2 linked regions of the Macaca mulatta genome follow. The protein of the gene in region 2 interacts with the protein of the main gene of each other region in a biochemical or structural test. Links are inferred from orthologs where the notes say so. Each region holds a gene or a part of one and is shown on either strand. Other genes may lie near its edges.

What was found. The genes of interacting proteins can lie anywhere in the genome.
Region 1: the proteins of ZEB1 (region 2) and USP51 form a complex in vitro, tested with the Homo sapiens proteins (2 studies listed by BioGRID). The link is inferred for Macaca mulatta from reciprocal best matches to the Homo sapiens genes ZEB1 and USP51.

The regions. Positions count from the first base shown.
Region 1 is NC_133426.1:55,459,881-55,464,018, reverse strand, and holds the start of USP51 (ubiquitin carboxyl-terminal hydrolase 51), read right to left. Parts: upstream 2,801-4,138; 5' UTR 2,728-2,800; exon of another isoform or gene 2,417-2,727; intron 2,318-2,416; 5' UTR 2,115-2,317; intron 1,937-2,114; 5' UTR 1,888-1,936; coding exon 1-1,887.
Region 2 is NC_133414.1:32,868,584-32,872,083, forward strand, and holds part of ZEB1 (zinc finger E-box-binding homeobox 1), read left to right. Parts: intron 1-1,848; coding exon 1,849-2,051; intron 2,052-3,500. UniProt on the Homo sapiens protein: Acts as a transcriptional repressor. Inhibits interleukin-2 (IL-2) gene expression. Enhances or represses the promoter activity of the ATP1A1 gene depending on the quantity of cDNA and on the cell type.

The sequences.
Region 1 (4,138 bases), on a different chromosome or scaffold from region 2:
CTCTTTAGTGGAGGCCAAAAACGGAGTCATGTCCAGCTCCAAGGGAAAGGAGATAAAGGTATTAATCTTTCGCCTCTGTTTGCCTACATGCTCAAACCGCTTGAGATGAAAACAAGCCACAATGGGTAATTTTTTCATTGTAAGCTGTTTAGTAGACTCCTGGTAGCTTTGGCAACTATTGCATTTGATTTTGGCACTGCTTCCTAGGTGCTCTGGCCTTGTAAACCACTGTAGGCAGTCTGTGAGTGAGGGGATTCCTGGTATGTGGTCATCCCTGCTCACTGTGCCATCAGCCCTCTCTGGGTTCTGGGAATCGAATGTGGCACAAGAGCCAGGCAAGTCCAAACTGATGTCCCAGCATGGGTCTATGGTGGTGGAAACACTATGGCAGGCTTGACATGTGACATCTGATTGCAGGCCACCTGTAAAGATTTGGTCTATGATGCAGTTACAGCAGTTGGGGTTATTGGCCTCCTGCACACCACTATCATCTTTGCTGTGTCTATGCAGCACATCTAATATTGCAATAAGGAACTCATGGGCATCCTGCTGCCTGTACCCTGCTAAATGTTCTGCATGGATCCATATCAGATGCAGTAACTTATAGGGAATGTGAGGAGTTCGGCTCCCAGAGTACATAGCATGAAAAAGCGAAGACATTTCACAGACCAGACACAAGCTGGGGCTTGTCATTATACATTTGTGCTTGTCAGAGAGGAAGAAATCTTTCAGTAGAGGAATATGGGTAAGTGCCTGAACAATACAATTCATAAAACAAGTGTTCCCAAGATTGATTAGCCCTCTCAGGCCTACAGTATAGACTGACTTTTTTCTTCTCTTTTTCTTGGGTTTCACCAATTTTGGCTCCTGTTCCTTTGTCTCACAGGTTGATTGCTTGTCTTCAGTCCCTGATGTCATAAACTGTTGATGAGAAACATCTGTTGAGGTGGAAGTTAATCTCAAAATTTTTTCTTTTGTTTCTTTGGCAATCTGTTCTATGTCTTTGTCATATACATAATCCTTACACATGAAGCAATATATGACCCCATGATAAACGTCTACAGCTAAATGGTGCTGCTTTGTTTCTGCATGTTTGTGAATATGTTTCTCAGTGAAGCAGCCAAAAAAGACACAGGAGAGACAAGAGTGGAGTCTATTCATATGGGTACTACATACATGACAGATGCATGACTTTGCTTTACGTTTCCTAGTCTCTGGGGTCCCACTCCAAACGAAACGCTGGTAGATCAGCCTCAGGTTCTTCTGCCAGTTCTTACCTACTTTAAAGCTCTCCACATGAGAGCAGCCTGTGGGACCCTGACCAAAGTCGACCTCCAGCAACCAGTCCCCTAAGCCGCCAGGATCCCCCGACCCCTCTAGGTCACCAGAGCAGCTTCTCCGTGTCTGAGGCCTGGACCCAGGTCGGGATCTGCGCCGGGATCCACGCCAGGCCCTGGGCCGCGGTGCGGATGGGGGCGGGGGTGGCGGCGGGGGCGGGGGCCGGGCCGGAGGCGGGGGTGGGGCCGACAGCCCAGGCTGGCTGCGGGAGCGGGCCCGGGGCTGGGGCCGAGGGCGGGGCTTGCGGCGCGGGCAAACGGGCGAGGAGCTGCTGTGACAGCGAAGGGGGATTGAAGGGAGCACCTTCTCGTCGCCGCCGCTGCTGGTCCACGTCAAGTTCTCCTCCGGCACGGGCTTAGGCTCCTGTAATGGCTCCAGCTTCATCTCCTCAGCTTCCCGTCCCGAAGACGCCTTCGTCGCCCCCGCCGCCGCCTCCTCCATTTTCCCCGCCTTCTCAACCGCCTCCTCAGGAGAGGCTCCTCCCCCACCTCCGGAGATCCAGCGGGCCCCAGAGCCGGAGGGCAAAGAAGTTTCTGGAACCTGGGCCATCAGATCACTGCTCGACCTGAGAAGCAAGGCGTCTGGAAACGAGCTGCGACTGTAGATGAAACGAGACAGACTTCTGTGAATGATCTGCCCAGCGTCATGGCCGCAGTGCGCAGTTAGCGCCCCCAGGACCCCTCCCATCGGCCCTTGAGCTCAGCCCGCGGCCGCTGCCGGCTCCACCCACTCAACTGAGAGGCCCCTGGAGCTGATGGGGAGACCGAGGCGGTTACCTGCTTTAAAGACGCTCAGATCATGCAGGGGCCAGGGGACTGGGAACAGAAGGCTAGCGAGCGGTGGGGGTGGGGAACGGCCTGAGCTTTAGGACAGAAAGGATGGAAACTTCTTTAAAAAAGGCGCCACCCTCTGTCTGCTTTTTTGCGCCCTGCGCAGCCTCGCTTTGGTGCAGCTTCCTCTGACGTTCTTTCCCTGTATCCTAAAAAACACTTGGGTCAACATTTTCTCTCAAAAATGGCTGAAAGGACGCACTTTTGGAAAATGAACTCAGAGGAAGAAAGTGTCCCTCTGCTCCTACCTTATCTATACTTCTGTGACCCGGTGTGTTCCACGCTAAGCCGTTGCCCCTCAGCGCACTTTCGTTCCGCCCAGCTCTTGCGCCCTCTCACGCTTTTTCGCTCTTGTGCTCTCACACCCCTTTTCTTGCTTCTGCGACTTCAATTCCTACGATTTCTCCTAGAATTCGGATTACTACTCCCTCCCTTCAGGCATTTGCCACCTCTAAGGCCACCACCATCCTCGGGCGATCCCCGAAGTCCCCGCTCCCTTTTCCCTCTCCTGCCCCCGCAACGCCCCCAGCCCGGCGGTTTGTTTAAAGGTCTGGGTTACCTTGGGCCCCAGGCGCGTGATATAGAACGTCAGCAACTGCTGCTGTCCAGGCGCTCCTCAGCCAGCCTTCTCTCCTGACCTCTCCTCAGGGCTGGTCACAAGGGGGCCGCCCCCTGGCCCCTCCCCTCTCGACGTGCGGCCCCCAACCCCGGATTCTGCCCTCCTGCAGTGATGAATGGCACCGCTGTCCCGCGCAGGCAGGCAAACCTCTTCCTGAAACAGACTCTACTGGAGGCAACGGCAGCAACAGATTCTACAGAAAGCCCCTGAAATGGAGGCTCAGGCCTCACCTAGCTCCAGGCCCGCACTCCACAGAAAAAAAGATTCGCCCGGCATGGGGGTGGGGGCTTCCAGAGATGGCAACTCCCTGGCAGAAATCCCTCAGGATCCTGTCAGAGTCTGGTCTCTGGGAGTTGAGAGAGAGAGAGAGAGATTATCCCAGAATGTGCAGGGGAGGAAGCATAAGCAAGGGCTCAGGCTCAGAGAGACCTGAGCCCAGGCACATGCTTGCTGTGTGACCTCAGATAAAACACTTAACTTCTCTGAGCCTTAGTTGTGTCAATTTTTTAAGAGAAATTGAAATAATAACCCTAACCCAATGTGAAAACTAAGTCATAGTATATATCAAGTAAAAGACCTTTTTGGCAAGCTTTATCTTTCACACCTCTTTTTTCAGTCCCGACCTGAAAATCAGCCTAGAGAACAACTCCTGATGCAGAGCAGAGGAGAAGAGAATGCCTTTCTCTTTCGAAGCTCTCTCCAAGTTATGGCTCAGCTCACCCTATCATCCCTCCTAGGCGGTTCATGTACAGGAGCATGCATTCAACAAAGATGCCATCGGTGCATTATAGCACTAGATTGTGCTGTGAGAAGCACAAGATACAACTGTTTGTGTCCTGAAGTCCATAGGCCAGGAGACTTTTCCTTTTCTGTGACAGATCCAGCATCCAAGGTGACAACCCCGGAGGAAAGCTATCTCCAGGGCTTGTTGCCCTTCCTGTCCAATCCCAAGAAAATTACGGTTTATTACAGAGGATGTTTAATGCTACATTTAATCTCTCTGAAAAAGTCACACATCTCCCCTCAAAACCTCACGATTAGGATTCAGCTCTCTTTAACTTGGCAGTGGCATCTAGTGGATATGTCCGCACAGTGGATATCAGTGATTTTATGACTTGGTCTAGATTCGACCATATCTCAGTCACCTACCAGCACCTGGAGGGAAAGTGCTTTGGAATTATAGACTGGCTTGTGCAGGAAAACGTGTTTCTTTTCCCCTAGGGAAGGGCATTTTCTCAGTCACAGCTAAGCAAAGAGTTGCTTCTGCATTCGCAGAGCTAGAAGGAAATGCTGAGTCAGTCGTTTGCTAGCTGCGCCACCTGTGGCGTGGATCCCAGCTGCTCTGAGACAG
Region 2 (3,500 bases):
GGGTAGCCTGTCCTCAGGTCCCTTATAAATGCATGGCAGCTCAACTGCTGAGGAAATTGGGGTCACTGCCAGTGGCTAGCACTTTGTCCCCAGTGGTGGAAGCTCACAGTGGCAGCAGTCTGTTGGGAAGTCTGTCCTCAGGGCATGTAAAAATGTCTGCAGCTCCTCTGCTGGGGGGAAATATGGTCACTTTCAATGGTTCGCACTTCAGCCTTAGCAGCCGCAACCAGCGTCAGTGGTGGCTGTGAAGGGAGGTATGTCAGAGGGGCTCCAGGCATGTGAAGATGAAGGAGCTGTTGGGTCCCAGAACAGGATGTAGTCTGCTGGGGGTTGGGCTCTCAAAATAGTGCTGTGCTGTAGCTACTTAGAACTCAGGGGATATACAGATTCAGCATAAGCTCCCTCTCCGGAGCAGCATTGTCATGTGGCCTCCAGGTACCTCCCTGTGTTAGTCTCAGAGCCCACAATGGTCAAGGGGTCTCCCATGGCTAGGACTGCAGGAGTCCATGGTGGGAATGTGGACCCCTGGGGGTCTCTCACTTACTCTTTCCCTGCATTGGAGAGCCTTTGCAGGTTGCTTCACTTCCTTCTTCCTTACTTGAGGTGTTTCCTATCACTTTTCTGTTGAATTCCAGTGTTCTCTCTTAGATGATCTATGTGAAGTGTGATTATCTACTCATTATTTTGGTTTTTCCTTGTAGAGAAGGTGAGTACTAGATGCCTCTATTGAGCCATCTTGAAGCCCCTCTCTCAACATGTTTGACCAACTGTTTAACATTCAGGTGCTCAGTCTATTATTTGCTAGCTGGTCCTTGAGCAAGACATTTGATTTATATGGACTTAATAAAGGAGTATATGTTTAGAAAGCACTTGGAGATTTTATGAAATTATCTTTGGTGGTTTGTTTTTCTATAGTGAATTCAAAATGAAAATAGAGATGATATTTACAAAAAGATATCACTTAGTAACTTATTTCATTGAAGAAATATCAAATATGGAAAACTACTCTTAGTTTAATAGTATTAATTGGCAAAACACTACATTTTAGGATTGTCAGGCTTAGACAGCTCCAAGTGTAAAAATAAAGTTCATTCAGTAAACTCTATTCAGAATGCTTTTGTTTTCTAAAAGCTATATATATTCATACATACACAGTTATATAGCAGATTTGCCAATGTATTTCAATAGGGGAAATTATAAGCAGGGTCATGCATGGGATGTGTTTATGTAGCAGGCCTAGATCTGGCCCCCATCAGTCTTTCCTTCCCCACCTTACACACTTCCTTTTTGGTCTGAACTCAGTCCTGTGGCCACACCTACCTGCAAGGGGCTCTTGGAAACAGTCTGTGTACTGTTTCCTCTTTGATGATAATGACTTGGTAGTTTCATTTTCAAAATCAGAGGAATAAACCTTAAATAAATAATGATACATACCATTGTTACCAGTAGACCCTGTTGTAGAGCACAATTCCCCTTTAATCTGTATACACTTACAAAGGCAACCTACATTCTAATTTTACTTTTGTTTTCTTTTCTGGCTAATCACATGACAAAAGGGAAGAATTATGGTTCAGGGAAAAATATGGGACTTGAAGGTCAGACAGCCCGTATCTGAACCCTGACTTCATCATTTTCTGGCTCTGTGACTTTTCTTTTAAGTTATTTAGCCTTCCTGGGCACCAGTGTTCTCTCTCTTATAAAATAGAGGTGAGTATCATTGTATTGTTTTGAGGATCAAATATGAAATGGGTAGCACAATATCTGGAACATAGCATAGGGAGTCAGTGGAAACTTTGGTAATATATTCTGAATGTTTTAAGTTTAAAATATATGATCTTTCTTTTACAGGAACACCAGATGCATTTTCACAGTTACTCACCTGTCCATATTGTGATAGAGGCTATAAACGCTTTACCTCTCTGAAAGAACACATTAAATATCGTCATGAAAAGAACGAAGATAACTTTAGTTGCTCCCTGTGCAGTTACACCTTTGCATACAGAACCCAACTTGAACGTCACATGACATCACATAAATCAGGAAGAGATCAAGTAAGTGCAATGACTGAGAGTTCACTAACTTTCCAGATTTTGACAACTCAGCCCTCAATGGAAGGCAAGGATTTTAATATATTTAAACGTTAAAAGAATGTACTAAACAGTGCTATATCTGCAGCCTTATAAAAGTGAAAGTGATTATTTATTTGAGTTATCCGGTCATTCCTGAGATTAAAAACCACATATGAACGTTATTTTAGAGGTAACTCAGCATTTTTTTCAGATAAGACCCTTTCCATCTTGACTTAATTATTTTGCTTATGCCATAACAGATAATTCTTCAAGTTTAGAAGATTTTAAATTGCATTCTATTAAAATGTTCAGTGTAGGAAAAATAAATGCTGACTATATAAACCACATTTTACTAACCAAATTAACAAGAAAGTCAAATTTAAAAGTTTAATTTTCTTTGAACCAGTTACTATTTATTCTCAGTATAAACTACTGTGGGTTTTTGTTTTGTTTTGTTTTGTTTTTTCTGCCATAGTAAAGGGAGTTGCCTCCTCTAAAAATCTGAAGCTTAGATTTTTTTATTCTGAAAACTCAATTTTTATATGGTTTATTCTATTTCTATGTCACTGTGCCACAGTTTTTAGAGCATAAACCAAGACTGTTTTTTAACTGTAAGTTACATTTAAATTGCTGGTTCTGTATTTAGGATTAAAGTCAAGAAAGCTTTTATCAGTTGTTCTTTTACAAGGTCCTCATAACTATCAACCATCAACAATGAAATTAATATTGCCTTAATTGTAACTTTAAAAATTAAATAAATTTTCAACCACACAGGGTTTGTGAGCGTATATGTTAGGGTTAGGGCATATTTCCAGTTTCTTACATCAAAGAATGATGTATATCTACACACCTGAACTCTGTCCTATGGATGTACCTAATATGTGTCACATATCCCATAGAGAACAAGTTAGACCATTTGCTAAGGTGATGGCTAGGCCAAACAAACAACAACAAAAAATTGTAACAGAAAAAGAATGACTGAGCAGAGTCAACCTATTTCCTTAGTACTTTGGCAACAGTACTCATGATAACAAGATAAGAAGAAGAGGGTGGCAATCAGGGAGAATAGAACCAAGATTTTATAGGTTAATGGTCCATAAGCCCATGAAGGAGCACTTGAAACAGGTAAAAGCTCCAAGAGAAGGATGAAATTAATACAGAGAAGGGATGACTGAAGGCAAACACCGTCTCCTTCTAAGTGCCCCTATTAATGAGTCTTATCAGACACAGACCAGCAGAAGAGTATGTTTTATACCTTAGCGCTCTGATGTGGCCACGGTGTAGACAAGGCTTGGGAAAGAGCCTACTCACGTGACATTCAGGAAGCAGACCCATCCTGAGCTGCTGCCACTGTATTCCCTCTACTCCAAGGGCCATCGTAAAAGGAGAGGACAGATTGAACTGGTGGTGAAAGCAGAAGATGCCATTATA